4 linked regions of the Ovis aries genome follow. The protein of the gene in region 1 binds, or shares a complex with, the protein of each later gene. Links are inferred from orthologs where the notes say so. Each region holds a gene or a part of one and is shown in the gene's direction. Other genes may lie near its edges.

Region 1 (7,763 bases):
TCCCAGTCATATGAGCTAAAAATGTCCTGTCCGGGTGTCCTGTGCCCAGGGGACAGAGAGCTCCCAGCATGACAAGAAGCCACACTCGAGTCAGACCACCACTCCCTGTCTCTGTGACTGACTTGCTAGGCAGCTGCGGGCAAGGTATTGGCCCCTCTAAGCCTCATATGAAATGGAGCTGTTAGTAGACTGCTTAGCATCATAATCAGGATGAAATGATTTTATGTTTAAAAAGAAATGCTTAGAGGAGTTCAGGGTTTGGGTGGGGCATGAGCCACCCATCTCCTTGCATGACCCTGCAATAAACCTTTTTCTCTGCTCAAATAAAAAAATGCTCAGAATACCTCCTGCAAGTCCCTTTGGCAGTCTCACAGTAGCCCCACAGTCAAGGGACTGTGCCATCTTCGAGGATAAAGAATAAAGCATATTGGGCTCTTGGCTCTCCGTGGCATCCAGGTGTAGAGTGAGAACCATGTCACTTTGTGGTGGAAGGAAAAGGAGTGCGCTGCTCCTTAAATTTGACTCAGGAGAGTCACACTCGAGAGACCTGCCACCAGGAAGAGCAGCAGGTGTGCCTGAAGCCTTTGGACTAGTCCTGGGCTCCCGTATTGGGGACTGGCTCTGTGAATTAGGCACGTCACTTAACTCATCTGGGCTTCAGTTTCCCGTCTGTAAAATGAAGATGATAATACCCGTCATGCTTGGCGGGGTTGCTGCAGGCTCCAGTGAGGTAATAGGTGTTTATAGCCCTCCTGTCAAGTGTTAAAGCACTAGGCAGTGCGTTTTGAGACTGCTGGGTATGTCCATTGATAGGTCTTAGATTGTTCGCAGGAGGAAAGCTGGGATCGAGGATGTTCAGGGATGCTGTCCCGGCCCAGCAGCCTCATTTGCAGCCCCTCTTTCCCTCCGTCTTCAGGGTGGGGCGCAAGTACAAGGACCCTGAACTGCGGCAAAGAGCCTAGTGGGGCAGCTGGGAGGGAGAAGGGGCTCCTGAATGCCCTTAGGTGAGCCTGTCCCCGCTGCCTGGGGATTGAAAAAAATGCCTCCACTTTCTGCCCTTTGGAAATTTTGTTTTTCCTCTTTTTCACCGTAAGTTGGGTGAGCATCAGGACTAAAAGGATCTTGCAGAGGGCCGTCGCCCTGGGAGTCTTTGTCCCTCCGAGTAGCCCCAGTGCACTGGTGTGGACTCTAGACTTCATCACCGCATTCTGTGTCTGTCTGTGGAAAGTCGGTTTCACAGATGATAATCCACATTATGATTCTCTAAGTTCCATGCATGTTTGGGTAGACACACTGACCAGGTCTCGGGGCTGTAAGCCAGGCCTGCCCAAACTTTCATTGTGTATTGGGGTGTCAGCACTTCTCCCTAGGCCTCACCTCAGCCGACCCGTCGTGGCTCAGATGCGGGGACCCTTGCTGCTCCATCCTGATGCTGCTCACACGAGCAGGGCTGAAGGATAAGCATCATTGCAGAACTGCATCTGCACGTCACTAACACACACAGACTGCTTTTCCCCAAATGCGAAGGCCAGCTCCTCATTCCCTGTTAGCACCAGTGTTCTTGGTACTTTTGCCCTTTTACTTCCCATCTTGATCATGGAACTAGCCCTTTGATGTTCTTCCAGCTGCTTGCATGCAGCGTGCCCATCACATTGCTTCCTCTTACCCTGATTTTTTTTATCTGATTCCTTTTTTAAGACCCTGGAGAAGGAAATGGCAACCCACTCCAGTGTTCTTGCCTGGAGAGTCCCATGGACAGAGGAGCCTAGTGGGCTACAGTCCACAGGGTCGCAAAGAGTTGGACACGACTGAGTGACTTTGTTTCACTTCACTTTTTTAAGACAAAATCTCTCACCGACTACTAGAGGCTTGTTGAGTACCAAGCTTTCATACTAGCAATGCCTCTATGAGCAAATCTGCAAATACAGTCCTTTGGGCAGTGTTGAGCTGGGTGTGGAAGGTTGGGGACGTGCCTGTCGCAGTTCTGGGTGGTTGGTGGGAGTGATGCACCGCCACGTGCTAAGGAAAACCCTCTCCTCCTGGGGTTGCCTTCTCCAAGACGGGGAGGGATCTGGAGACCAAGAGTGGGGAATTTGAAATGTGTGGATGATTGAGGGCCTCCTTTTGCCTGTGTGTGAGGAAAGCAAGCCTCCCTTCCAGGCCGACTAGACCCAGGAAGCCCCACTGCATCTTACCTTAGGCAAAGGGGAAGAGACCTCATTGCGTGAACACCCGCCATGCTTCCTAAACATGTTCTTCATTTGGTAGGAACAAAGCCTCTCACAAATGTTTCATGGGCCGCGGCCTGGCACCTAGCCGGGTGTGACCCCTTGTAGACCTTTTGTCTCCCATTGTGTGCTGCCTTCCATGGTTCTTCTCCAGCCGCTGTGTATCACCACCCTGCTCCCCTTGAGATATATTGTCCGTAGACGGCTGAGCCTGCACAGAATTATTTTTAATAAAATGTATCTTTTCTTCCAGCATGCTTTCCACTTCCACTGCATCTCTCGCTGGCTCAAAACACGGCAGGTGTGTCCGTTGGACAACAGAGAGTGGGAATTCCAAAAGTAGGTGTCCCCGGCTGTTTCGACATCGTATGTAAGGTTGGGCTTTGTGGTCAGTACTGTTCTTGGACCCACGTCAAGCTGGAGGGTGCACAGTTTTAGAAGATGAAGACATAGAACATGGCTGGTTCATAAAGTAGCTTTCGGTTAGTTAGATGAGGACGCGTCTCTGTGGAAAGTGTATAAGGTGAACCAGCATTAGAAACTTGCAGCCTGGAGTTTCCCAGCCATCTAGGTAGGGTCTTTGGAAGTAGTAGTAGAAGCTTGCAAATTCTCATTTTGCAAGCTATTAAATATTTCCACAATCACATCAAGAATAAGGCTCCAGGGGCTAACTAATGTCATCTGTCTTTGCTTTGGGCTAGAATTATATCATGTTTCATTGGTTTATCTCACAGGGATTAATTCTGATACAGCATCTGTGGCTATCTCAACTAAATCATTATTGTTGCTGCTGTTAATTGTAGTAGCGTGTAAGTAATACACGGCGTGCAAATTTTCAAAACTTCAAATGATCAGTCTGTACTAGTAATTCCTAAAAGAGGAATTTCTGGTTTAAGAGTATGTATGTTTTTATTTTTGATAGTGTCAGATTTTTTTCCTTTCCCAAGAGTATGTACTAATTCACAGCCCCTACCAACAGTGAAGCAGAAGACTTCCTCCTCCATTTCTTGCCAGTGCTTTGTTATCAGACGTTTTCATCTTAGCTACTGACAGGTGAAAATTAGTTTTCAATTGTATTTTTTAAAACTTTGAGTAAAGTTGGGCTGCTTTTCATATGTTTTTATGCCTGTTGTATTTGTCTGTGAAATGCTTTTTTATCTGTTGAATTTTCAGTTAATTTATCAAATTTTTAATGGAAAGGGGGATTTTCGAAGTTCTCAAGAGACCTTTGTAATTGACTGTGCCGTGGAGCAGGCTCAGGGTGCCATCTTGGATCAAAACTGTCTCACGTAGCCCATACACGTGCCCAGGGCTGAGCCTAAGAAGTGGGGGGGTGACGAATCCTCCTGCTAGGCTTTGACACTGTCGCTTTATCCAGCTGGTGACTTTGCCTGGCTGTGGTTATGAGCGCCCTGGGAAAACAAATTCATAAGAAGCAAATTTCATTTCAGCATGCTTTAAACTGATGGATAACTTCTAGGTTATTCTCACTAACAAGCTGGAGCTCTACCCTGTGAGGACTTTTTTAGGGAATTTTTAAGCGAATTTCTTATAAGGAGTACTTAAAGAATCTAGCAGCCCTTCAGGATGATGGCAACAGTGATGCAGAATTCTGGTGCCCTGGTCTCCATCTGTGTAGCAAAGTATTTTCATTAGAGGCGAACTACCCACTAAGAACCATGGCCAAAGATTAAGATAATAATGGATTCTGTGTTCAAGAAATCTTACATGTGGAAAAAATGTCCTACCATTGGTTATAATCTTTCTGGAGCCAAGTTTTGGCCTCTGAGGAAATCAGAAAGGACCTGAGATCCATAGCTAGTTTCTCGACAGTTCTTTCGGTGGTGCTCAGCAGACTCAGGGCTGTAATTGGAACTGGTGATAGATTTTGACACTGAAGGCTGTTCGGTTACTATCCTCTGTAGGGGTCTTACCCTAAACTAGCCCAAGTATGGGAGTTGAGGGGAAGAGGCGGCCCACAGGGAAGAGGGCGGAGGATTCAAGCTGTCTTAGCTGCATACTGGCCATCAAGTGCAGCTCCCTTTCACAGCCATTAGCCGTGACTCCTCCCTGTCACTGCCCAGTATCTGCCTGGCACCAGGAAAGAGTCAGGTGGGTGCAGTTGAGTGGGGGACCATCACTATGAAGAGGGTGGTAGGGACAATGTTACAGGAGGCCGGTAGGCTGAAAGGGGCAGAGACAAGGGTTGAAACCCAATCTTCAAAGTTTTAACCAGATTGGTGGATATATTTTTAGCAGGTGTTACAGTCTCAAACAGGGAATCACGATAAGGAATGAATTAATAATTTACTTTGTCTTCCAGGTATGGGCACTAGAAAAAGAATTCTTCCATCAAGCTCAACTGTTTTTGTTATCCACTGAATGACTTGCCCTCCTGTTACTTATTATAAATTAGATAGAACTGTGTCTCTTCTGCTTTGTCTTTTCAGTTTGCTATTCTGGCAGCCATACTGTATTCTGTGTCAAATAAAATCCAGTTGGATTCTAGAACAGACGCTGTCTTTTGTGTATGTGCAAAAAGTGAACACAAGTAAAGGGCCTCCCGCCCCTTTCTAGGGTGGAAGGCTAGGTTTTGAAAGTGAGGTGTTTGTTCATCAGAGCCAAAGCAGGATCGTCCTGTGAGCACGTCGCTTGGTCTCAAGGAAGCCTGGTCCACAGCCTGGCTGCTGCTGATGATCTTGGGCGAGTGGTCTGTCTGCTCCGAGCTCTTCCTCCTCCGTGAAGTGGCTGCTAAGGACTAAACAGGATCATGTGGGCACAGAAAGAGGCCTTATAAACTGTGAGAACGCTGTACAGGTGTTAACTTTGTGTATGACATGTTGCTTTCTCATTTTAGTTTAGAAAAGTTAACTTGAAAAAAAATTAATATGTCATCTTGGCTGGCGATGGAGTAATCTGTGAACTCAAATTGGAAAACAGTGTCATTTAGAGTTAACGGGAGAATTCAGGTTTCCCTTCCTCACCACCACCCTTTGTAATTTGTTTAAGATGCCTTGGCTGTGGACAGAACTGCCAGTTCTAACACTACTTCAGTCTCTTAGTCTTTAACTGAGAGGCGGGTTAATTTACTGCAGTGATTCTCAAAGTGTGTGCTGAGGACTTGCGGGAGTAATGGAAACACTTTCAGGAGGTTCACGAAGTTCCTTTTCCGGCTGCGTGTCTGTACAAGGCCAATTTTTCTTTTTTTCCTTCAGACAAAGCAACGTATTGAATGAAAAAAGAGAGCAGCAAATCCAGCTGTCTTCTGCTAAGTCAGATATAAAAGAGATTTGCAAAAATGTAAAACAGTGCCACTCTTCTAACTTTTGTTTTGAAAACTAGTTACTTTGAATAAAAATATTTATGTTAACGTGATGGGTTTTTGTTCTTTTAAAATCTTTTAAATTTCTCAGTTTGATTTCCATTGTGGTAAATATCTGTGGATGCAACCCCCATAAAAACTCTTTGGTTTCTTCAGTGTGTAAGATCATAAGGGGATCCTGAGACTCAAAAGTTTGAGAACCTCTAGCTTAGTAATAAGAACTTTGAGGTCCAACCTGGGTGGAACCCAGCTTCCCCACTTGGCCGCCAGCAGTGCAGTCGCTCAGGGCCAGGTGGCTGCTGCCGTCGATGTTCCTTCCACCCTCGGCAGAAATCACCTCCTTTAAACCCCTTTCAGGTGGTCATTCACACTGCAGGAACACTTAAGCGATGCAGAAGAATGGTTTTCACACAGCTGGCGTCACATATTTGCAGAGTTCTGCCTGGGTGTTCATAAAGACCCTTGGTTGCAGAGCAGCCGACTCCAGCTTCTGCTTAGGTCATGGAACGTTTGTGAGGGCTAGGGGGCTGTGTCCTCTGAAAGGAGTAAGGGACACAGAAGGGGCTGGACCTAAGAATGAATGACTAGAACCAGGGCATCCCTGCTGGGATTCTGTCGCTCTTTCACAAAGACTAGCTTCTCTTTTGCTGGCTACGCTTATGGCTTGTGGGATCTGGAGTCCCTAACCAGGGATCAGACCTTCACCTGATGAATGGCGGTGCAACTCCCAATTCCTGAAGCCGCAGGCATTCAGAGGCATCTGAATCTAAGTAGTCATTAAGCTCCATTCACCCGCTGCCCTCTCACTGCAACCTGTGCCCTCTTCTCCGTTCCCGTCGCCACTGACAGAGCACAGGCTGTCTTCAGTTTCCTCTAAAACAATTGCAGTTCTCCAACTGTTAACATTAGTCTCCTTGCTACAACCTGAAACAAATCTTTAATTTGACTGATGCCCCTTCCACTAGCTGGGAAATCTCTACGTTGATGGACAGAGCTCACTTCCCATCATAGACGAGCGTGCCTCATCCTGGCTCCTCCGGCTTCCAAGCAGCTGGAGAGGCAGGGTACCCCCACCTCCATCAGAGACACTCGGCCTGCCATCCTCTGTGGCTATGGGCAGCAGCACTGACCCAAGGCCCAGTGCAGACAGCCGAATGGGTTGTGGCAGCCGGTGTTTAATAGCCTAAATAGCCAGCACCTTCCGAGACCAGTTCTGTGGCATCATTTTGGCCGTGGTCCCAGTGGCTGCCCATTTTCTGAGCCTGATTCTCCAACATGGCCTATGCTGCGGTGAGCTCTCCAACATCATTTCTTACGTATCCAGTCTGCTGCAACGATAGCCCAGGCCTTTGGTTCTCAGCTGTCATCATTAATCCCCTCCTGCCCCTGCCAGGTACGTCTACACTGTTTTCTTATTCATTCTCAGAACATTTCCTAAAAAGCCCATCATTTTATGAAAATGTCATCTGACATTTTTTATTCACCTCTTCAGCCAACAGAACATTCTTCTAAAAGAGTCCTTTGCCTGTGTTTTCTCTCCTCGGTTTTTGTCCCCTATTTGATCAGTTTCTTTTTTCGGGGCACTGCTTGGCATGTGGGATCTTAGTTCCCTGACCAGGAATCGAACGCCTTTCCCTGAAGCAAGGAGTCATTAACCATTAGACCACCAGGGAAGTCCCTCTAGTGATATTTTTTCCTTCAATGCCTTTTATTTTCTTCCTGCTTGGACCAATTTTTCAGCCCACTGTTGAAACACCTTTTGAGGGCCTCTTGTCCCCACTGAGCCCACTGCCCTGCCCTCTTACTTGGGCCTTCACCCCTTGACATACAGAGCCTCACATGACCTGTAACCTCAAAGCACATCCCCATCTCTGTTCCTCTCTTTCCAGCCTGGCATGAGCTCCTCTGACCTCATCCCAGTGCCATGCGGAAGCTTCAGCTGGATTTGCTTGAACCCCCTGTCCTTCCAGGAATATCTCCTGCCCAATCCAGTCCACCTCCCTCCTCCCTTGTCTCGGTGCTGAGTTACCTGAAAGGCTAACCCTCCCCAAAACTCCTCTAAACAGGGTCAGGACCCCTGCCTCCCTTTAGGGCCTCCAGCATCGTGGTGTTTTTCCTCCGAACTTTTTGAAATCTCCCGCAAAGTGAGGCCATATTTCTAGCTAAACCCAGGCTATGATGAGGTCTGAAACAGCGTGGTGTCTTTCACCAAA
Region 2 (8,078 bases), on another chromosome or scaffold:
GTTGTTGCTGTTTTACTGGCTAAGTCGTGCACAACTCTTTTGTGACATGATGGATTGTAGCCCGCCAGGCTCCTCTGTCCTTGGGATTTCCTGGGCAAGAATACTGAAGTGGGTTGCCACTTCCTTCTCTGGAGGATTTTCCCAGCCCATGGATAAAAGTGGCATCTCCTGTGATTCCTGCATTGGCAGGGGGATTTATTTTACCACTGAGCCACCTTGGAAGCCCTTTAATGCTCTTACTTGCCAAATACACTTGTCAACCCTACACTGGTTCTCTAGTGTTTTAAAAAACTACTTCATTGGTTTCTGAAATCCAAGTAAGGTTCATTTTGTAAAAACATACAGCATTCTTAAAGAAACCTACATATTGAATAAAGGAAGACAGTATAAGCTGGGCCTTAATTACCAAAGACAGTAGCAGCCAACAGGTTTTGAGTGACTACTCTGTGCTGAGCACTGCTTTCAGGGTTTTAAAAAATGTATTTATCATCTAAATTTGAGTAGCCCAAGGAAGAAACATTGTTTTTTATCTCCATTTCACAGATAAGGAACTCTAGACAAACAGCCTAGCCCTTGCCCCCAAAGACACAAAATACATCCAGTAAAAGAGTAGAAGGCCTTCCCAGATGGTTCAGTGCAAAAAGAATCCTACAGTGCAGGAGAAGTGGGTTTGATCCTGGGTCAGGAAGATCCCCTGGAGGAGGGCATGGCAACCTACTCCAGTATTTTCGCCTGGAGAATCCCTTGGACAGAGCAGTCTTCTTACATCACAAAGAAACTGAGCCATGTGACACTGCAACCAATACAAAAACATTGGTTGTTAATATAGTCTAACAATTATGGAAATGAAGGTTCAATCAGCACACAGGTTATAAACTCCTATCCAAGACTCATAGTAACTTACATTTAAATCAGAGTCCCTCCCATTGTTAGCTTATCAGCAAAATTCTTGACCTATTTTTAGCTTCAGTACTTACATAGATATTGCTTCAAGCAACATCCTTGTTTCTTAAGCTCTGTTTTATTAGCAAATACCAGAAAACAAAACAAGAAAATGTTTTCAGTAGGGCATTTCAACCAAGTAAGGGGTGAAAGCACAACACTGGTGAATCTAGTTATCAGGATTAAGTTAATTTAGGGAAAATCCAACCTTACAGTGAACAAATCAAAAAGGTATATTCCAGTTCATTTATCAAAAAATAGAAAATAAAACCCCCCAGCTTCCAAATATTTAAAAAGAATTAAACTTCAGCTTAAAAGAAGGCATTAAGAATAAAATTTAAAAGTATTAACATTCTATTAATATTCATTCCAACAATAGGTTCTTACTTAAAAATGATATCACAAACTTTAGTGGGAACTCACATATTCCTCTGCAGTCAGAAATCCAACTATAACAATACAAAGAGGTAAATTAGGGTGTAAAATTCATAATGAAAAGCAAAACTGATGAATCAAACTAGACTTTTTGAATGCAATGCCAAACTTTTATTCCCTCAAATTATCAGCAAACTGAAAAGAAAGACAAAAATTTTGGCTTTCAAAATGTATCATACTCTTAAAATGACTTGGCAGGTTAAGGTTAGGTTTCCATTATTCTATTTTCTATTTAACACCATTTACCAAAATATTGCACTGAGTTAAGGGAGTTGTTATTTCAAAGGCAACGAAACACAAATTTTAATACTAGTAAGTTCTAGGTCTCTCAGACAACAGTGAATCAGTTTAAGGAAATTTTACGGATTTCCACCCCTCAATCTTGACAGCTGGAGTGTGCACATCCAATCCGAATACCTTGTTAGGCATACAGGACTCTACTTTCTGACACTGCATATATTAATAACTCCTGCACAAACTCTTCTTTCAACTTTCTGGCTTCTGGTCAAGTACCCATCCCTAGTCCACCTGCCCTAGAAAAACACAGGAACCAGTTTCAGGACGTGGTTATCCACCTAGCACCCTACGCTCCACCCCGAGACTACCCTCCTCTCGCTCTAGCCCAGCCCAGCCAAGCGGAGCCGAGCACTGCCTGCTACAGTCCGGCTCCGGCTCTCGGAACTTCCCCTGCCCACTCCGTCCACGTGAACAAGACCCCGCCCCCTCGCCCGGCGCTCCACCAATCAGCAGCCCCCTCACCCAGGATCCGGTCTTCAACGCTCCTCTTTCAAAAAGTCAGCTCACTCCTCCCGCCTCAGTCCCGCCCCTTTCCTACCTCTCCGCCCCGCTGGCCCACCTTCCCAAATCCCCGTTCCCTTCCTCCTCTCCCGTTGCCCCCTCCCGCTCGCAGGCTTCGCCCCGCCCCACCCGGGAAAGCGCGCTCGCCCTCTTCTCGCGAGATTTGAGCGTCCCCCTCCTCCTGCCGCGGCCGCCCGCCTCCCCCTTCTGTCCTCCCCCCCTCCCCCCAATCTCTCCACTCTCCGGCTCTCCTCCCTCCCTCCTCCCCCCTCCACCCTCTGGGCCGGATCTCGTCTCGCTGAGGCGGAGGAGGAGAAGGAGGAGGAGGAGGACGTTCGGCCTGCGCAGTGAGATGTTTGTCCGTCGCCGCCGCCGCCGCCATCGCGGAGGAGCGCGATAAAGGGAGCCGAGCCGGGCGTGAGGGGGACCCCGCGGAGCCGCCGCGCCAGCGCAGTCCCCCAGCCGAGCCCGAGCCGCCGGAGACCGAGCCGCCGCTGCCCCCGCCGCGGCCGCCCAGGGGCCGGCCAGCTCCCCAGCCCAGCCCGGGGGCCGCGCCGCCGCCGCCGCCCCCAGCGTCGCCCCTCGCCTGCCCGCCCGCCTTAAATGTGACACCGGCGCCTCGGAGTGCGACCTGAAGCCGCCGCCGGGGAGGGGACGAGCACCATGTCGAATCTGAGCAAAGGCACGGGCAGCCGGAAGGACACCAAGATGCGGATCCGGGCCTTTCCGGTGAGTCTCTTCTCGGCGCCTGGGACCCCGGGTCGGGGGGCCCGGCCGACAGCCGCACGCGAGGCCCGGGCTGAACTCCCCCCCAACAGGCCGCAGGCCCGGCCTCCCATCCCCCACGCCGCCGGCCGCGGGGCGCGAGCCTTCCCGGCAACGGGGCGGCGCGGGGCCCCGGCGCGGCCACCCTCCGGGGCCGTTCCCCGCGCCCCCGGCATCCGAGGCCGGCGCCGCGCCCCCGCCCAGGAGCTGCGCCTCCGGTCGCCCCGCGGGCGTCGGCTGCGGCCGGGGCCCCTCGGCCGGTCCCGGCACCTCGCCGCGCTCCTGGGGTGTAGGCCCAACCCCTAGCACCCCGCTTCTGCTCGGTCCCCGGGACTCCCAGCCCTGCAGGGATGGGGATCGTCTACGTCCTCCTGGTGTGGGGCGTGTGTGTAACTTTTCACGTGAGGTTTCGCAGCAGTTGAAAAAAAATCACCATGCCTAAAGGATGGCCTGCTAAAAGATGCCGGGGACGGACCTCTCCCGATCTTCCCCTCCCCAGGAAGGGCTCTGCCGTCCACCTACCCTCTACGCGGTGACAGACGTTCCGCGTAATGCTCTGTAGTAATACACTAACAACGTCGGTGTGTTTACAGAATCTTTCATCCGCAACCTTCCAATGCACTTTACAAACTCTCCTGTGCAGGAATGGCCTAGCCACTCAAGGGGAAGTAAGACAAAACAAATGAGACGATTGGTTCTTCATTTCCTAGCCACGGAAGCCCAAAAGAATAAGTAGTCACCACCGTGAGTTGCTTTACTCTAGGTTTTAGTGACAGCAAAAGTATTTTTGTTTAGAAACTTTTTTGGCCTTAAATTAAGTCATACCCCTGCGGTGTTTAGTATTATATGGTATAACTTTGGATGTCGTATCTGAATCAGATAGCCAGTGGCAAGCAATTAGAGTGTACTCTTGGGACAGAGAAACTGGACATACTTGCTCATGTCGCTTCTGTAACAGGTAGACGTCAAGGTGGACAAACTAGCAATTGAATAGAAGATTTTAAACCAGGAAAACTATAGAGAAGAAGCTGTGGTTTCCTGTCTTAGAATCACAAGCACGTTATATTGAGTGGTGGGGGGCGGTGAAGAGGGTTTGTATTCACTTCTTAAAGCATGCTTTTTCTAAAGTACAGTTTGCACTTTAGAGGAAAAATTAATATAATTGTCCTAGTTGAGTAAGAAACCGACCTAGAGAACTTGAGGACCTCCCTGAATTCTTAAAATTTAGAAGGAAAAAATACACCTGATGCAGAATTCCCAGATGGTAATAAAAATGTTAATACCTATGTGAAGACTCTTCGGACTTTATGTAAATAAAGATAGGATATAATCAGGAGAATTAGATGTTTTAATGCACATTAAAGGGATTTTGAATTTCGGAAGTTTTTTCCCTAAGTAATCGTGAGAAAGTACAAAGAAAGTAACAAGTGTTGACAGAAGAGCACTAATGAAGTTCACTTGCACGTTTTTCTTTATAAACAGTGAACTGGGTTTATGAATTTGTGAGTAGTGATAGTTTTCCTACTGAATCAGTTCCTATTAAATAAGCAGAATCTAGAATTATTCAGAATTTCAAATAGTTTTATACATTTTTAAGAGAAGTTTGCTATTCTTGAAGTCTGACTTCTAATACAGATTATTGTTAAAAGGTGGAATAGCTCACATTTGACATCAACTCACTGTTGTGGATATTCTGATTAATCAGCTTTATCTTTATCTATGTGTAATCAACTCTTTGATCTCTTGGTTTGCCTGTCCCTACCTGTTTTTCCACTCCTTCATTCTTTTAGGAAATACTGAGGACTGTGTGCCAGGTACTGTTCTGGGGTCTTGGGATGTATCAGTATAGCTTCAGAGAACAATATCCCTCCTTTCTGGATCTTGTATTGTTGGGAAGAAGCTGTGGGAGAGAATTTTGTTCTTTTAGCTAAAGAGTATCAGAGTGTGTGACAGGTTACCACACAGCACTGAAGCTGACTTTTTTTTTCAGGCGCATTATGATAATGAACTAATTCAGACCTTTTCTTATCTGTAATTTGTTGCCCTCTTAAGTTTCTCTAAAATCCTTAAATGAAGTTTGCAAGTAGCTAGTGTTTGATATTCAGTACTTAGTATCTGCTAATTTTTAAAAATGTCTGAGAGTTTTAAATTTTCTCATGGGTATTAACATCACTCATGAGTAGTTCCTACAGTGAGAACCATTGCATTTTTTAAATATATAAATGTAAAAATCATAGTTCTTTGAACTTTCATTAAGGATGGCTACATAAAACCTCAGTGGTGTGATTTCAGTGATTTATTTGGTAAATGAATACTTAAGAGTTTCAGAATTTTTTTTCCTTCCAGGTTAGCAGTCATTTACCTAACTGTAGTCTGCATGGATTGCAAGTCAGAAGTAATAAATGCCTGTTATTCCATGAAGAAAATATTTTGTGTGTATTCATGTGTGCACACTTAAAACTACTGTATTTTACGATTTGAGATAAACAACTACTCTAAGGGAAATTGTAGTGTAAGCAGAGGCCTCAAATACTCCTTTCAGAGTGTTTTATAAAACTGATCTGTGAAAAAGTATAAAAATATGTTTGAAGATTGTTTTGTTATCTTTACAAAATAGTAAGTGATGGTACAGGATATTTTGTAAATGTGTAAACCTACCCCAGCTGTAGTCTCATCAGTAAAATCAGGTTCTGAGAAGTTGGTTCTTTTTAAGACAGAAAACAATGAAGAGCTTTTTGTATGTAACAGATTGATGATGGAGGAAATATTTTATTCCAGTTTGTAAACTTTGCTGCAGTGAACAAAATATATAGCATCTCACATCTTTTGGAGTTTTTTGGTACCCACAGTGACAGCAAGGGACACAAAACTTTTTTAAGAAAGGAAGCTGTAGTTGTGAAACTCCTGGAAACTGTGGCTTTGGACCAAAGAATGCTGTCCCAAGAAGTTCCTGCCCTTATCTCCTTGCTGTTGCCATGTGTCTCACTCCTGTGCTTCAGTTTCACTCTGTAGGATTAGTTGCTGTCAGGTGAACTTTTTGTTCTTACCTTTGTAATAGTCATTCCTCACCGCCTGTACTGTAGTTGGGTAGTTTGTCCGCATGGGCTTGAAAAGCTTGGTTGTATTGGAGGGGGGGATATGGTTGAATGGGAATACTGGTCTCCTCTGACTTGCCTTATTTGACTTAGACTTCAGAGTTTAGGAGACAAATTGTGAAAGTGATTTTCATTAGAACATTTTCTGAAAATGGTTTCACTTACTGGTTTATAGAAGCACCCCAGTCATGATAAGGAATCTCTGGCTGTGATGTGCATGCAATAATTCTAGATGAGCACCACCTGTGTGGCGTGGACAATTAGAGAAGCTATTGTTAAATGGAACCCACAGAATGACTGACACTCATTTGTTATGCTCTTAAATACTTAAGAGCACAAGGATTTAAGGACAAGAGGGAAAGTTAATGTTTTTGTTTCTCCTAGCTCTAGTGTTATTTGTTAGATTTAAGGGAACAGCTTTAATGTTCAAAATAGGTTTCTTTTATTTAGAGTAAGTAGCTAAGGCAATGGCAACTCACTCCAGTACTCTTGCCTGGCAAATCCCATGGATGGAGGAGCCTGGTGGGCTGCAGTCCATGGGGTCGCTAGGAGTCGGACACGACTGAGCGACTTCATTTTCACTTTTCACTTTTATGCACTGGAGAAGGAAATGGCAACCCACTCCAGTGTTCTTGCCAAGAGAATCCCAGGGACGGTGGAGCCTGGTGGGCTGCCGTCTCTGGGGTCGCACAGAGTCGGACACGACTGAAGTGACTTAGCAGCAGCAGCAGCAGCAGCTGTTGCCTAAACTACCTGGACTGTACATACAGAGAGATTGAAGAAGAGTTTTGCAAATCACACAGGGCGCGGAATTAACCTCTAAGCTTGGTTTGTTTTTTATTCTTTAGTATTTTCTTATAGGGATGTTATGGAGATATAGCATTCGTTAAAGTATTGCTTTCACTTAGACTGATTTTTTTTGTATTTAATGGTTTCAAGACAGCCAGCTGTGTTATAGTTAGTACCTCACAGCCTTCAGAAGCTTAAAAATGAAAAAGATACAGTAGTTATAAAGTGTCTATTTTGTATTGTCTTAGAAAGCAGTTCTGAGGAGCCAAGAAAATTATTACTACCAAATTATTAGTACTAAAGTTATTGAATTTGAAACAGTTTTAATAGTATAGAGTATAATGTGAGAATTTGACTTGTTAAATAATACAATAGTCACACGATAAGTTCATTCAAACGAAAAAGAGAAAGTTTCATTCATTAAATGTAGCTAGGTAATAATAGTGTTCTCTCTATTTCAACAAGATTATATAATTAAGGATAGAAAAAATAGTGTATCTTCCCATTGTGTTATACATTGGGAGACCTGAGATAATTTTTTGCTGTTATTCGGAAAAAAATTATCTGTTAATCTTAACAGCAAAAAATTTTGCTGTTAATCTTGGTGTTAGCAGTTTTGCTAGATTTTTATAAAAGTTATTGGACAGTTTGTAGCTTTAAATAATGGAACTTTATTAATAGTTCCTGTTTATCATTATAAAGTCAACAAAAAAAGGTGCTACTAGTAAGAAATCACTGAGCTAAAACATGAATTACAGTTAATGTCTATAAGTATATTGTGAAAATTATTCAGTTGTAGTCTAGCAAAGCTATGAATTCATTTTAGTAGCTTTTCTAGTTATAAAAGTGATGCATATTCATGATAGCTTAATAAGGATCTGAACATCTAAGTAAGGTAATAAATAATCACCTGTAACCCTGCCACTTGGAAGTAAGCCATATTAACATTTTGATGTGTTTCCTTATAATCTTTCATACATGTATAAGCACACAGTAAAATTCAGGTACCATCTTTTTATATACTGCCTTTTAAAAAATATAGTATCTTACTATACATTTATTTCCATGTTAAGTATATCAAAAACATGATTTTGAATCACTACCTAATACTCTGCAGTACTTTGGCTTATCCTTTTCCTTACTGACAGGTTTAATTGATTCCAGTGAATACATGCTTTCTCTATTACAAACAATGCAGCTGTGATTATTTAGGAGCTTCCCTGGTGGTTCAGACAGTAAAGAATCTGCCTGCAA
Region 3 (7,571 bases), about 66 Mb from region 1:
TCTTCCATTCAGCAGAAATTGACTGAGTGCTTACTGTATGTTTGGATTTATGTCGATAAGGATGTAAAAAGATAAGAGGTGACCCCACCCTGGAACTGCTCACATCCTGGTTGGTATATCAGGTGTGAAAACAGGTGTGAAATGAAATAAGTATTAATATATCAGTGCTCTGTAAGCATGCTGGAAGGGAAAGGGCCCTTTTCAAAGAGGAGGTGAGAGTTGAACTAGCCATTGAAGGGTGAGTAGGAGTTTTCCACATAGCCCACGTTAGCAAGGAGATTTCCGGCAGCACTTGGAAAGAACAGTAGTTCTAGCCCTCCTTTCAGTTCAGTTCAGTCGCTCAGTCGTGTTTGACTCTTTGCAACCCCATGAACCGCAGCACACCAGGCCTCCCTGCCCATCACCAACTCCCGGAGTCCACCCAAACCCATGTCCATTGAGTCGATGATGCCATCCAACCATCCCAACCATCTCATCCTCTGTTGTCCCCTTCTCCTCCTGCCCTCAATCTTTCCCAGCATCAGGGTCTTTTCAAATGAGTCAGTTCTTCACATCAGGTGGCCAAATTATTGGAGTTTCAGCTTCAACATCAGTCCTTCCAATGAATATCCAGAACTGATCTCCTTTAGGATGGACTGGTTGGATCTCCTTGCAGTCCAAGGGACTCTCAAGAGTCTTCTCCAACACCACAGTTCAAAAGCATCAATTCTTCGGCGCTCAGCTTTCTTCACCATCCAACTCTCACATCCATACATGACCGCTGGAAAAACCATAGCCTTGACTAGACGGATCTTTGTTGACAAAGTAATGTCTCTGCTTACTCACTACTATACTAAGCACACTATGCCTTTTACCTTGTTTAACCCTCCTAACGCCCCTAATGAGGCAGCTTTGTTACCCTCTTTATACCGATAAGGGCCCTGAAGTTCAGAAAGATTAACTGCCCAAGGTCACATAGTGTGAAGTGGTGGAGCTTAGATTCATTTCCCTTGTGTCTAATTGAAAATCCCTGAACACCTAACCATTATGAAACATGACCTCACCGAAAAGAGAGGAATATAAAAGAGAGTGTGCTGTCTCCATGGGTCGTAGGGAATCCAGCTTATTATTCTAAGAGAGAGAGTGACAGTGGTAGGTGACACTGGAAAGACTCAGGTCATTTAGGCTCAGCATTTTAGAACCTCCTGTTCTTGCCTGTGAGTTCTTGAGTTCTTTGTGGAAATGGAGTGCCCACATGAACCTTAGGCAAAGTCAAGGGCAGTGTGAGTGACACTTTCAGTGGTAACTCCAGAAACATCATGGAGAGAAGAGGCAGTGAATTCTAGGCTTAGAAGCAAAAGGACACGTGAGGAGGCTGCTTCCGTTGTCCCAGTAAAAGATACAAGAACGCCAGGTGGGATAGCATGGCTAGAGTGGAGTGGGTCAGTTAGAAATGACAGTGGGGCTCCATGGTGACTTGGAAAGGTACAGGAGATATGGAGATGGACTGAGTGACTATTCGGGAGGGTGACTCAGTAGGTAAAGAATCTGCCTGCCAATGCAAGAGACCTAGATTTGATCCTCTGTGGGGAAGATACCCTGGAGAAGGAAATGGCCACCCGCTCCAGTATTCTTGCCTGAAAAATCCCATGGACGTTGAAGCCTGTTGAGCTACAGTCCATGGGGTCGCAAAGAGTTCGCCACAACTGAGCATAGCAGCACAGCCTTTTCTTGTTCAGAAACTCAGGGTTCTGGGAGGAAGAAGTGGTTTGAGTGGAAAAAGTGAGTTGAGTTTGAGTTGCCCGTGAGGAAGGCAGCTGATCTGTAGTTGGACACAGGTGAGTCTTGAGTTCAGGGGTCATGGATCGGGCTTGTCTAAGCTGGAGGTGTTCTGGGAGTAAAAAGACACGAGCAACTTGAGGCTTGAACCCTGGGGGAACCCTGGAACCCTCCTTGATTGCTGCTGTGGAGGAGACCAAGAGAAGGTAGTTGGTAGAGACCGAGGTCCTCCAATTAATTGGCAAACTCTAGTTCTAGTCACTCCAGCTTTTGTGATGGTATTTTAAATTATGCAGAACATTAAAATTGCTATTATGGAAATGGAAGTCGGTTTCTGAAGCTCAGAATGTTTTACTTTGCCCTCTTTTTATAACTTCCTATAGCTCCAAGGTTAATTTTGTCCCCAGTGAAGCCTCATGCTTTCGTACTGTGTATCCTGGTGATGCTGGTTTTTCTTCTGAAGTCTCTCTAGGCTGCCCTGAAGAGAGTGGTTCTCTAGGAGACATGTATTTCTAATTTCAGGTCCTTTGATTCCTGATACTTGAAAGACCACAGTGGGGAGGAGGAGAGGTACAGAGAGTGAGGCTTGGACAAAAAGCATTAGACAAGCCTGTACTACGTTTATATATACATCCAGGACTTCCCTAATTCATTTTTATGAACTGCTTTGCTTTTGGCAAAGAATGAGGATAAAATAACTTGTCTAGCTACACTGACAGAAGATAAGTTCATTTAGCATAGAATACCATCTGTGAGTTTAGTAGAAGGGTTCAGCTAGAAGTCTTGCAGAAATCTAAGAAGTAAAATCCCTCAGTCAATGAAATCACACTTCAGACAGGCCCAAGCACTGAACTGTATTCTCCTTTGTTTTAGAAGATTGCAGAGAAAGCACATGCCTCAGATAGTGCATCAGTTAAAGAAAATTTGAAGGTCTTGGACTCCTAGTAAGATGGACTTGGAATTTCATTTTGTAATCTGCTGCTAAGTCGCTTCAGTCGTGTCCGACTCTGCGACCCCATAGACGGCAGCCCACCAGGCTCCCCTGTCCCTGGGACTCTCCAGGCAAGAACACTGGAGTGGGTTGCCATTTCCTTCTCCAAAGCATAAAAGTGAAAAGTGAAGGTGAAGTCGCTCAGTCGTGTCCAACTGTTTGTGACCCCATGGACTGCAGCCTACCAGGCTCCTCCACTCTTGGGATTTTCCAGGCAAGAGTACTGGAGTGGGGTGCCATTGCCTTCTCCAATTCTGTAATCTATGTAGTCCCAAACCATTTCTTGAATTATGATATTACATAGAGCACTTCTATGCATTTAGTGATATGTAAAGCCCAAGAGATAGGGTTTAGGAGATGATGGGAAAAACTGAAAGTTGAGGACTTCAGCTCGTTGACTGTATACTCCTGAAGGGCTGTGTGGCTAGACCTCAGAGAACACTGAATGAATGAGATGGATTGCAAATAGCAAGTTGATCTTTAAGCTTTCATATAAAAAAAAAAATCACCTGCTGAGATGCTTTTAAGACTTGTGAGTTATTGTCTGAGGCTGGCAAGAATTCCTAACTGGGAGGGGATCCTGGCTGTTAGTTTTCTTCCATCCCTCACCTCTTGGCGATAATAACGCTTGAGAGAAATCCCAGGTAGATTCTCTGTAGGAAGGCTGGGGCCCCCTGGCTTATGCCATCACTTTTGTTCATACAAGAATGTTTAGGGATGGCTTGTGTTCCTGAAATAGAAATCACTACATTGTATTCCTTGTTGGAAAGCTGAGTATCCCAGCAGCGGGGAGAAATACATGTTTTGAGAGAGCCAAGCCATTGACCAAAGGAAGGCCCGAGTGTGGCGGTTGGATTGTTGAGCTGGATGGCCTTAAATGGTCATCACAGTCAGTACAGCCCAGAGACTTAAAATAGGTTTGGGGTTTACAAGATACTACGGTGCATATCTACATGGGAATCTTTTCCAGCCTAAAAGTACAGTTCTCTGCTTCTGGATCATGTACTTTCCTAGGTGTAATTAGTTTGATTTGCAAGTAGTGGAGAAGACCAAGAATGAAGACAGCAGTGCTCAGAATAGAGCTAAATGCCAGAGATGGAGTAGTGAACGAGACTGGCCTGGTCCCTACCCTCATGGTAATAAAGAAGCTACTAGTGAAGTGTGAAAAATGTTGTAATCCGGGGGCGGGAGAGCCAGTAGAGTGCCGACGTGTTCATGCGCTTTCTGTATCCTTTCATCTTGATGTCAAGTATGGGTTGAGTGGAATGTCTATGATACCACAGTGCCTTTGCTAAATATTAGGTAGAGAATGATGACCAAGAAACCTGATCTCTGCCTCCACTGAGAACTTACTCTAAGGACCCTGAAAACATGTACAGCAAACTCTTCGTTAGGTGCAGCAGTTCTGGAGTCCTTTCTTCTTTTCCAGATCCCTAGTTTCATAGCCATCCCCAGCCCCTCAGCCTCAGGGGCAGCAGTTCTGGAGTCCTTTCTTTTTTTCCGGATCCCTAGTTTCATAGCCATCCCCAGCCCCTCAGCCTCTTCTGCCTTTGTCTGAGGCTATCTGCGTCATGACGTCCACTCTCCCTGCGGCAGTGTCGGTGAGGTGTCTGCTGCGTGCACAGCTCTTTCCTTTGAAGAAACCTGATACAGACTGTACTTTCAAACCAGATTGGATTTCGTAAAGGTGGGGGTGGGAGCCAACTTATATAATAGCCCTTTTGAACAAACCGCTTCTGTTCCATTGATGTTCCCTCTCTGAATTCCAGATTGGCGGCAGTAAGCACACAATGAATGACCACCTACACGTCAGCAGCCACGGACAGATCCAGGTTCAGCAGCTGTTTGAGGATAACAGTAACAAGCGGACAGTGCTCACGACACAACCAAATGGGCTTACCACGGTGGGCAAAACGGGGTTGCCCGTGGTGCCGGAGCGGCAGCTGGAGAGCATCCACAGACGGCAGGGGAGTTCCACCTCTCTGAAGTCTCTGGAAGGCATGGGGAAGGTGAAAGCCACACCCATGACGCCTGAGCAAGCAATGAAGCAATACATGCAAAAACTAACCAGCTTTGAACACCATGAGATTTTCAGCTACCCTGAAATATATTTCTTGGGTCCAAATGCAAAGAAGCGCCAGGGCATGACAGGCGGGCCCAACAACGGTGGCTACGATGACGACCAGGGATCCTACGTGCAGGTGCCCCACGATCACGTGGCTTACAGGTACGAGGTCCTCAAGGTCATTGGGAAGGGGAGCTTTGGGCAGGTGGTCAAGGCCTATGACCACAAAGTCCACCAGCACGTGGCCCTGAAGATGGTGCGGAACGAGAAGCGCTTCCACCGGCAGGCGGCCGAGGAGATCCGCATCCTGGAGCATCTGCGCAAGCAGGACAAGGACAACACCATGAACGTCATCCACATGCTGGAGAACTTCACCTTCCGCAACCACATCTGCATGACGTTCGAGCTGCTCAGCATGAACCTCTATGAGCTCATCAAGAAGAACAAGTTCCAGGGCTTTAGTCTGCCTCTGGTTCGCAAGTTCGCCCACTCCATCCTGCAGTGCCTGGACGCTTTGCACAAAAACAGGATAATTCACTGTGACTTGAAGCCTGAGAACATTTTGTTGAAGCAGCAGGGTAGAAGCGGGATTAAAGTGATTGATTTTGGCTCCAGTTGTTACGAGCACCAGCGGGTCTACACATACATCCAATCCCGTTTCTACCGGGCCCCGGAAGTGATCCTCGGCGCCAGGTATGGCATGCCCATCGACATGTGGAGCCTGGGCTGCATCCTCGCAGAGCTCCTGACTGGTTACCCTCTCTTGCCTGGGGAGGATGAAGGGGACCAGCTGGCCTGTATGATTGAACTGCTGGGCATGCCCTCCCAGAAACTGCTGGATGCATCCAAACGAGCCAAAAATTTTGTGAGCTCCAAGGGTTATCCCCGTTACTGCACTGTCACGACTCTCTCAGATGGCTCTGTGGTTCTCAATGGTGGCCGCTCCCGGAGAGGGAAACTGAGGGGCCCACCAGAGAGCAGAGAGTGGGGGAATGCACTGAAGGGGTGTGACGATCCCCTCTTCCTTGACTTCTTAAAACAGTGTTTAGAATGGGATCCTGCAGTTCGCATGACCCCTGGCCAGGCTTTGCGGCACCCCTGGCTGAGGAGGCGGCTGCCAAAGCCTCCGACGGGGGAGAAGACGTCTGTGAAGAGGATCACCGAGAGCACTGGTGCTATCACATCCATTTCCAAGTTACCTCCACCTTCCAGCTCAGCTTCCAAACTGAGGACTAATCTGGCACAGATGACAGATGCCAATGGGAATATTCAGCAGAGGACAGTATTGCCAAAACTGGTTAGCTGAGCTGAGCCCCCCGATGCTGGTAATTCTGAAAGATACGACATTGCTGAGCCTTATTGGGTTGAAAAAGAGTAGCTCAGACCTGTTTTTATTTGCTTAATAACTCGACTCATTTGTATCTTTTCGGCACTTGTTTTAATGTAAGAAAGTTGTTTGTTTTGTTTTATAAAATACATGGGGACAATGCTTTAAGTTTTTATACTTTCTGAAACTGTTTTTGTGTTCTAAAAGTACGATGAGCCTTACTGTAATTAGTGTGGCAGAGTAATAAACATCAGTGGCAGGCCATTGATCACGTCATGACTGCCGCGCATCTACAGATTGGTGTCAGAGACATTCACTATGTCTTCATGGTTCCTAGTGTATTCTCCCCAAGGTGATTGCCTCTGAAGGCCGCCCCCCACCCCAAGCCCTTCTCTCTCCACACTCCAGGTTCACGCACAGGTGCAGCATGTCCTTCGTTCTCCATCAGTTAGCTGGGTGGTAGTCATGGTGGGAGGAGGATGGTCAGGACGAAAATGGTATTGTAAGAAAAACTGCACCTTAGAGGTTTTTTTCCCTGAGATAGTGCTCAGAGACAAAATCCCCACAGTTGCAATGCCCAGTTAGCATTTTGACGTTCTAAAGGCTGGCCAAGCAGACCTGGTGGATGAATGGAAACACGTGTATCCCTCCAAATTCTCCAATGTGATCAGCGAGCTGTTTTGCAAAGAAGTCTGGTTTAACAGAATTTGGTTTTGTGCCTAAAATTAGAAATGTATTCCATGAACTAACTGTTCTTCCCTTCTCTTTGCTTTTCTCCCCGCTGTTCCTCTTTCACCACACATCTGTTGCTTGCATCTAATTTCTTTTCCTTCCTTCAAATACATATCCCAGACTGTTAATACAGAAAAGAGACATTTTTAGCTGTGATTATGACCATCTTTTTCATATTCCAATTTAAAAAAGAACAGCCTAGCTACTTAAGGTGGGGATTTCCGTAGTTCCAAAGACAGTTTAGCAGTCTCGAGTGCGTTCACACTTCAGGTGCCACAGTAAGGTTCTTTTAGCCTGGGAAAACATCACCTCTTTAAAAAGAAAGAGGGTTGAAAATCCTCTTCATCAACAGACGTCAATTGTCCTTGTCCAGCAAGGCCAATTTTAACAAATTCTAAGGAGGAAAAGTTCAGCCTCAAGTTAAATGGTTTGACTTACTCTATGCATCATTAGAAGAACCGTAGACATTGCATTCTTCTGTTTTATTTTACTTTTGTTTGGATTGCACTTGATTGTTTTTGTGGGAATGACACTTTACCTGGAAAAGTGACTCTTGAGAGTTAGGTAAAAGAATATTTTCTCCTCTGAATAATAATTATTTTCACAGTGAAAATTTCAGTATTTTATCACTAATGTATGAGCAGTGATACATATCAATTTCAAGGCACGTGGAAAAAAATTTAGTTATGTGCAATTTA
Region 4 (8,066 bases), on another chromosome or scaffold:
GAGAAAGAGCTAGAGGTCCCTGACTCTGCTCAATGACCACGTTATTATCATTTGGTCTCTTCCGACCGTTCTCCTTTGTTTCTGCTTTTCTCATTTATCTGATTAAACTTACCCCTTGACTAAGGTTCTCTACAGACAAAAGGCTGGTGTAGGACGTGGAGTGTGGTTGGTGGGGGGAGCAAGCACCACAGGCTGCTGCTCCGTTTCAAAATGAATATGCAAATATAGACAAGACTGACCTCTCCCCTGGCGAGTGACAGAGATTCCCCCCCACCTGGCAGAATTTGCACGTCTAAGGACAAGAATTATTCTGCACTGTGATTGTCTGTAATGTACAGAGCTGTAAACTAGTTCAAGGGCAAGGAAATCTGACAGCCCAGAAAAGTGTGGTCCAGACGATGCCCAGAGTATATCACATAATCTTTACAGGGTTTTTTTTTTTTACCTTTTTCCCCAAGCAGGTAGCACTTCGTGTACCCAGCGGTGATTGTCACATTACGAATTGCAAATCCAGGTAGGGTGAGGCTACAAAACAAAGGATCCGTTTTCCTCAACAAGAAGAAAAATGCAGGCTGCCACACTCTCCCTCAGACTGCACTCTGTGGAGTGTGTGTCTCTCTGAATCCGAATAAATCTACTTCTTATCTAAAAACAAAGAAGAGAAAGAAGAAGAAGAAGAAAAACACAAGTGAAGGGGAACCCAAAGATAAACAAAGATACACTTCAGAGGCGCCCCATCCTAAGTCGCTTCAGGCGTATCCGGCTCTTTGTGACCCCGTGGACTGCAGCCCCCAGGCTCCTCCGTCCACGGGATTCTCCAGGCAAGAGCGCTGGAGTGGGCTGCCAGGTCCTTCTGCAGGGGGCTTCCCCACCCACAGCTCTTCTGCAGTAGGAGGAGGATTCTTTCCCACCAGCACCACCTGGGAAGACCAGCCAGAGGCTCCCCACCTGTCTGCAATGCCACGACCTTGTCTGAACCTTGATGCCAATAAATTTCAACCTTCAGCGAGAAAGGACACGTAGAGAACAGTTGGGAAATGGGGTTACTTGGCTATTTGGTGAAGTTGAGACGTTATTGTTGGGAATTCCCTGGCGGCCCGTCGGTTGGGACTTGGTGCCTTCGCTGCTGGGGCCTGGGCTGTATCCTTGGTCACTTGGTTTAAGGAAAAAAAAAAAAAAAGTCATTGCTACATCACAGCCTCTAAATTACCTGCTTCAGGTCAGGTACCTAACCGGTTTATTTATGGACACGTGTTGCCAGAGAAGGGAGTGTGAGTGGATGGTCATGTCCCAGAAGTCAGGTGGGTCCCTGGGACCAGCTGCCAAGTGAGGAGCCTCGGCCTCACGCAGGCAAGAATCCAGGAGTGAGCCACAGGAGGGAGAAAGCGAGTTTACGTACAAACGGGCTCCACGGACAGGACGCGTCCCCCTCAGAAAGTGAGGCGGCCCTGGGTTGCGGGGTGTTTCGTTTTCACAGTTTGGGTGACAAACGTAAACAGCATATTGAAAAGCAGAGACGTCTCCTTGCTGGTCCGTCCAGTCAAGGCTGTGGTGTTTCCTGTGGTCATGTGTGGATGTGAGAGTTGGACCATAAAGAAGGCTGAGCCCAGAAGAATTGATGCTTTTGAACCGCGGCGTTGGAGAGGACTCTTGAGAGTCCCTTGGACAGCAAGGAGATCCAACCAGTCCATCTTAAAGGAAATCAACCCTGAACAGTCTCGGAAGGACTGATGCTGAAGCTGAAGCTCCAATACTTTGGCCACCTGATGCAAAGAGCTGAGTCACTGGAAAAGACCCTGATGCTGGGAAGGACTGAAGGCGGGAAGGGAAGGGGACGACAGAGGACGAGATGGCTGGATGGCATCACCCACTCAATGGACTTGAGTTTGAGCAAGCTCCAGGAAATGACGGAGGACGGGGAAGCCTGGCGTGCTGAGTGGCAAAGAGTTGGACACAGTCTAGCGATGGAACTCCACCGCCCGATTTCGGTGGCTGAGTGGGAGCGTCATTTCAGCTCGTCTGGGGAAGGGGTTCAGCTCAGTTCAGCTCAGTCGCTCAGCTGTGTCCGATTCTTCGCCACCCCATGGACTGTGGCACACTAGGCCTCCTTGGTGAGAGGGTAGGGATTTCCAGGAGTTAGGCTACTGTCTACCTTCTGGCCTTTTATGATTGACCTGGGGACTGTCCTGGCCTCAGCGGCTGTGTCAGTTAGCTAATGGATTGTAACAAGCGTGCAATGAGACCCAAGGTCCACTGGAAGTCACATCTTTTGCCGCTTGGGCCTGCTAGGTTCTAACCAGTTAATGTCACATCCTTGAAGGCTGCATCATCTTGTCATGGTTTTTCCCTGCCCCCTTCCCTCCTGTCTCACTTCCGCTTTGGTTCTGCTTTCTCACAACTCGATATGCCTGCCGCAGTGAATACCCTCCATACACTGTCTTGCTTTCATCTGGGGTATTCCTCGGATACCCAGAACTGGCAGTGCTGCTCTGCGGAGAGCCACTGTGCATTTATTTAAATGTGGATAGCCAATACCAATAGTTCTAGGTATCAGTTATGTACCGCCATGTAACAAATTACGCCGCAGCCAAGTAGCTGAAAATGGCAACAATAAACATCCATTGTCTGCCATCCTTCCTGCTGCTGCTGCTGCTAAGTCACTTCAGTCGTGTCCGACTCCGTGTGATCCCATAGACGGCAGCCCCCCAGGCTCCTCCGCCCGTGGGATTTTCCAGGCAGGAGCACTGGAGTGGGGTGCCGTTGCCTTCTCCTATGGGCCAGGAATTCAGGAGCGGTTGAGCTGGGTTCTGGCTCAGTCTTTTTCTTTTCTTGTTTCTTTCTCTCTCTCTCGTTTCTTACATTTGGCTGTGCTGGGTCTTGGTTGCGGCATGCAAGGTCTAGTCCTCTGACCAGGGATCGAACCTAAGCTCTCTGAGCTGGAGCTCAGAGAGCCACTGGACCAGAGGGAAGCCCCTGGCTCAGCGTCTCGTGAGGTTCCAGACAGCTCAGAAGGCCTGGCTGGGCTGGAGGGTCTGATTGCCAGACAGCTGGCTCCTGGCAGGCAAGTGGGGGCCAGTTTTGACAGAGGTCTGGGGTCCACACAGGCCTCCCCGCACGGCTGCCTGAGTGTCTTTACGACGGGGTCAGGGGCGAGAGCTTACGGAGCGCAGACAGAGGCAGACGCAAGGCTTGAGGCCTTTCACAAACACACCCTTCCCTATGCCTCATTCTGTCCCTTAGAACCAGCCATGAAGTCCAGGCCACGCACAAGGACAGGAAGAAAAACTGGGATTCACCCCTTGGTGGGAGGAGAGTCAAAGATCTTCCAGGCTTTTTTTTTTTTTTTGAAGCGAATTAAAATCTATTTATCTGGCTGCCTCGGGTCCTAGCTGTGGGGCGCTGGGTCTTCGCTGGTGCATGGGAGAGCTCAGTTCTCCACTCAGCGGCATCACCTACCCGGGGAAGTGGACTGCTGGTCACTGGGCCTCCAGGGAAGTGCCTGCAGGCGTGTTTGTAAACCTCTCTAACTGGCGCATCTGGCACCTGCCCTGTTCCTGACTGCCTAGCCCAGCCTGGATAAAGCTCTTTGCCTGATCGGTTCTGGGAGTACACTCAGCCTTGATACCTGATCAAGTTCCTCATTCCCCACCCTGGATAATCCCGTTAGGCCAGGGCAGCAAGAATGCCCCTACCCTTGACATCTCACATGAGTGATCTTGCATCCAGCAGCCCCTCATTCTGGCCCTAGCTGTCTTTGCGGTACTCAGAGGAGAACCGGAGCCCTCCCCCGCTGAGAGAGCCCCGAGGACGGCAGTAGGCTTCCTGAGCAGTCTTTCTTACTGTTTCGACAGGTGTCAGAATAGTGTTTTCTTTACCAGCGTGGGAAAGCGAGGTGTAACATTTGCATTTCCTGAGTATTACTGCCCTTGAGCTCACTTCCTTTGTTCATACCGGCGGGGACTTCCTCTTCTGTGAGCTTCCGGTAAAGACCCTTTATCGTTTTTCAGGTTGGTTCACTTTCTAATTATTAACTTTTAAAAGTTCTTCTTAAAAAAAAAAAAAAAAAAGCCCCTGGAGTGGTTAAGGGTCCACCTGCAACATAGGCGGATCCTTGGTCCGGGAAGATCCCACGTGCAGGGGGGCAACTGCGCCCACGTGCCACCGCTGCTAGAGCCTGTGTCCCCTAGGGGACAGCAGCAGGAGCTGCAGGAGCAGGGAGAAGGCCCCGCGCAGGACGGCGGCCCCGGCTCGCGCACCTGGAGAAAAGCCTGTGCAGCCAGCGAGACCTCACTGGGAGAGGAACTCCTGACGCCTTCTGAACGGTTATCGTCAGTGACGGGACGAACGCGTTCACTGATGAACGGCGTCACTCGGGGGTTTGTTGTTTTACTCTCACTGACGCACGTATTTAAAAGTCTCTATTTATTTATTTGGTCCGCTCTTCGTTGTGGCACATGGGCTGGTCCCCCTCGGAGCATCGGCTTCCCTGACTGCAGGGCGCCGGGACTTCGTTGCCCTGCGGCATGTGGGGTCTTGTTAATAGTCAGGGATGAAGATGGCGCCCTCTGCATTGGAAGCCAGGCTTCGGAACCACTGGACCTCCAGGGAATTCTCTGGTTTGTGTCCTCTTTTGAGTGTTAACTGCTCACATTCATTTCCACTTATTTAATGGACTCAATATCATCTGTGATTGTTTTGCACTTAAGAAATTTCATTTTTGGCTGTGTCATGCAGCTTGTGGGGCTGTTAATTCCCTGAGCAGTGAAATCGCCACATCCTGACCTCTGGGCCTCCAGGGGATTCCCTGGATGAATTTTTTCACAGACTCTTTGCCGCTTGCTGCCAATGTCTTCGCCAGTCTCGACTGATTTTTGCTTGCTCAGGATGGCTGTGATCAAACTGCTCTGCAGACAGACACGGGTGCTGCTCTCCTTTAAGGCCCTTCCCGCTGGGCGGAGACGTCAGACCTCCCGTTCTCCACTCCCGCCTGCTGCCTAGTATCTCTGCTTCGGACCTCTCTCTGCTTCACCTCCCTCCTCTTGTTCTTACTCTCCTAAGCGCCAGCCCTGTTCTCCATGCAGAAGCACAGCCACGGCGGAGCAGCCAGAGCTGGGACCCTCGGGGAACAGAGGCTTTGCTCGGAAGCTGACATGTCCCTGGGAGGACACCAGGTGCTCTTGCCCGTCCCTCCCTGAGGCCTCCCCCGCCCTGCCCCTCCTCTGCTGCGGACGTTCCCGTGGCAGGGACCATTGACTTGAGCCGGCTGTATTTTGAGATAAGGGTCCCTCCAGCTCCCCACAGTCCCCGGCCAGCGCCCCCGTCTTGCTCCGGGCCTCCTGTCCTCCCCACCCGCCGGCTCCTCTCTCCTGCCCTGGAGGTGTCCTCCTCCAGTCTCCCTCTTCATCTGAAGAAGCATCAGAGGCCTGTCCCCCTCTTCCACACTCAGTCACTGCAGGCTGGCTGCTGCCACCCTCAGGAGAGGACTCTCTCCCAGCCCCATTGGACCTCTGCGGTCACCCCTTCCCTGCCCTTCTGGGTGCCCTTGGAAAAAGTGTGCTCTGCACTCGGCTCACCTTCCTTTCCCCATCCCTGTTCTGGCTCAGTGTATGACCTCCAGAAGCTCATGACACCCCCAGGTAGGCCCTCAGCTGGACATCTGCGGCCTCCTCACCGTCCTGGGTCCCTGGAGGGCGTTGTCTTTCCCTAAACCCACTCCAGCTCGGCTGTCCCCGACCATGACTTGGGCTGACCCTTCCTCACGCATCACTCCCCTCTACAGGTACTGGGGAACCTGCCTCCTCCCCAGGTCTCCAGCCAACACTGCCCTTCGAACTTGCTTCTTTCCCCGCTGACAGCGACTGCTTCCCTTCTGCCCCTCCAGGCCAGTCTCTGCACCATGAGCTGGCATCTGCCTGCCCAGGCTGACCCAGGCTGGAGGGCTGGGTCTGGTCTCCAAGTTTCCTTTCATGCTTAGAAATTCCTGGCGGCTGGCTGACCGCTCGCTAGACTGGATCTGTGGACACAGTCTTCAAACTGGAATGCTGTCTCTGCTCCCCACAAAGTCCTCATCTGGTGCACAGCTGTGTGGCCACCACCTCCCAGAAGTCCTTCTGGATGGCCTCTCCCACTGAGAACGTCGGCTCCTGGGCGGGCGCGGTCTACTCATCTCGTTAGGTGCCTCACGCAGCGGGGTGCGCGGCCAGGACAGTGTATCTCCACTTATTTTCTCCCTCATCCACGGTTGCCCGCCTCCCCCCCCACCCTGGCCCCGATCTTTTCAAGCTTGAGCTATCCTAGCTCTGTCCTCCCCTCAGAGCTCTCCATCCTCCAGACACGGCCTTCGCGCTTGAGCCTCGCAGGATGGGGTCCTCTGCAGGGCGGAGGAGAAAAATGAACACGGGAGCCTCTGGTTGGAGTGCAGGGACCCAGCTGCAGGCTGGCAAGCAGATTTACTCTCAGTTCACTTCAGTCGCTCAGTCATGTCCAACTCTTTGCAGCCGCATGGACTGCAACATGCCAGGCCTCCCTGTCCATCACCAAATCCCAGAGCTTGCTCAAACTCATGTCCATTGAGTCGCTGATGCCATCCAACCATCTCATCCTCTGCGGTCCCCTTCTCTTCCCGCCTTCAATCCTTCCCAGCATCAGGGTCTTTTCCAGTGAGTCACTTCTTCGCATCAGGTGGCCAAAGTATTGGAGCTTCAGCTTCAGCATCAGTCCTTCCAATGAACACCCAGGACTGATTTCCTTTAAGATGGACTGGTTTGATCTCCTCGCAGTCCAAGAGACTCTCAAGAGTCTTCTCCAACACCACAGTTCAAAAGCAGCAATTCTTTGGTGATTAGCTTTCTTTATAGTCCCAACTCTCACATCCATACATGACCACTGGAAAAACCACAGCTTTGACTAGACGGACCTTTGTTGGCAAAGTAATGTCTCTGCTTTTTAATATGCTATCTAGGTTGGTCATAACTTTCCTTCCAAGGAGTAAGTGTCTTTCAATTTCATGGCTGCAATCACCATCTACAGTGATTTTGGAGCCCCAAAAATAGAGTCAGCCACTGTTTCCACTGTTTCCCCATCTATTTGCCATGAAGTGATGGGACCAGATGCCATGATCTTCATTTTCTGAGTGTTGAGTTTTAAGCCAACTTTTTCGCTCTCCTCTTTCAATTTCATCAAGAAGTTCTTAAGTTCCTCTTCACTTTCTGCCATAAGGGTGGGGTCATCTGCATATCTGAGGTTATTGAGATTTCTCCCCGCAATCTTGATTCCAGCTTGGGCTTCATCCAGCCCAGCGTTTCTCATGATGTACTCTGCATATAAGTTAAATAAGCAGGGTGACAATATACAGCCTTGACGTACTCCTTTTCTATTTAGAACCAGTCTGTTGTTCCATGTCCAGTTCTTTTTTTTTTTTTTTTAAGGATTTATGCCATAAGTTTATTTACAAACATATTTAGGATGCTGAGTTCAAGGGACTGAACCTTTTAAGAGACTGCACCTCTTAATATGCTCCTCTTCCTATCTTTCTCATGGATTACTTTTTAAGCAGTTGGTATCTTACTATAAAGAAAGGTGCAGCAAATCCAGACCCAAAGAACAAAGTCATCATAGCTAGTAACCTCCACTTGTTTTCCACTGAAAATGGTATATTCTTCCCTGGACCCTCCTCACAGTGGCTCCGACGAATCACAGAGGTTGTGAACCTCAGGATGCTCTGTCCCAACATAGCGCTGTTGGACGCTCTACAAAAGATCCAGAGACCGGAGGCGGAAGAAACGGCGGCTGCAAACCTACCGCTTCTTGCCTCACGACCTTGCTCCTCTAACTCTCCATGTCCAGTTCTAACTGTTGCTTCCTGACCTGCATACAGATTTCTCGGGAGGCAGGTCAGGTAGTCTGGTATTCCCATCTCTTTCAGGATTTTCCACAGTTTATTGTGATGCACACAGTCAAAGGCTTTGGCATAGTCAATAAAGCAGAAGTAGATGTTTTTCTGGAAGTCTCTTGCTTTTTTAATGATCCAGTGGATGTTGGCAATTTGATCCCTGGTTTCTCTGCCT

Evidence for each region.
Region 2: RBX1 (region 1) and CUL3 share a complex: the UniProt entries of both Homo sapiens proteins name them as parts of the BCR(ARMC5) E3 ubiquitin ligase complex. The link is inferred for Ovis aries from reciprocal best matches to the Homo sapiens genes RBX1 and CUL3.
Region 3: RBX1 (region 1) and DYRK2 share a complex: the UniProt entries of both Homo sapiens proteins name them as parts of the E3 ligase complex. The link is inferred for Ovis aries from reciprocal best matches to the Homo sapiens genes RBX1 and DYRK2.
Region 4: RBX1 (region 1) and KLHL22 share a complex: the UniProt entries of both Homo sapiens proteins name them as parts of the BCR(KLHL22) E3 ubiquitin ligase complex. The link is inferred for Ovis aries from reciprocal best matches to the Homo sapiens genes RBX1 and KLHL22.

Annotation. Positions count from the first base shown.
Region 1 is NC_056056.1:217,990,662-217,998,424, forward strand, and holds the end of RBX1 (E3 ubiquitin-protein ligase RBX1), read left to right. Parts: intron 1-2,481; coding exon 2,482-2,567; intron 2,568-3,207; coding exon 3,208-3,271; 3' UTR 3,272-3,281; intron 3,282-4,551; coding exon of another isoform or gene 4,552-4,614; 3' UTR 4,615-5,603; downstream 5,604-7,763. UniProt on the Homo sapiens protein: E3 ubiquitin ligase component of multiple cullin-RING-based E3 ubiquitin-protein ligase (CRLs) complexes which mediate the ubiquitination and subsequent proteasomal degradation of target proteins, including proteins involved in cell cycle progression, signal transduction, transcription and transcription-coupled nucleotide excision repair.
Region 2 is NC_056055.1:226,741,978-226,750,055, reverse strand, and holds the start of CUL3 (cullin-3), read left to right. Parts: upstream 1-2,552; 5' UTR 2,553-2,838; coding exon 2,839-2,904; intron 2,905-8,078. UniProt on the Homo sapiens protein: Core component of multiple cullin-RING-based BCR (BTB-CUL3-RBX1) E3 ubiquitin-protein ligase complexes which mediate the ubiquitination and subsequent proteasomal degradation of target proteins.
Region 3 is NC_056056.1:152,288,254-152,295,824, reverse strand, and holds part of DYRK2 (dual specificity tyrosine-phosphorylation-regulated kinase 2), read left to right. Parts: intron 1-4,518; coding exon 4,519-6,120; 3' UTR 6,121-7,571. UniProt on the Homo sapiens protein: Serine/threonine-protein kinase involved in the regulation of the mitotic cell cycle, cell proliferation, apoptosis, organization of the cytoskeleton and neurite outgrowth. Functions in part via its role in ubiquitin-dependent proteasomal protein degradation.
Region 4 is NC_056070.1:72,508,117-72,516,182, forward strand, and holds the start of KLHL22 (kelch-like protein 22), read left to right. Parts: upstream 1-3,947; 5' UTR 3,948-4,007; intron 4,008-5,081; 5' UTR 5,082-5,150; coding exon 5,151-5,171; intron 5,172-7,429; exon of another isoform or gene 7,430-7,540; coding exon of another isoform or gene 7,541-7,732; exon of another isoform or gene 7,733-7,834; intron 7,835-8,066. Other genes in the region: cytochrome c oxidase subunit 7C, mitochondrial-like, read right to left, coding at 7,541-7,732. UniProt on the Homo sapiens protein: Substrate-specific adapter of a BCR (BTB-CUL3-RBX1) E3 ubiquitin ligase complex required for chromosome alignment and localization of PLK1 at kinetochores.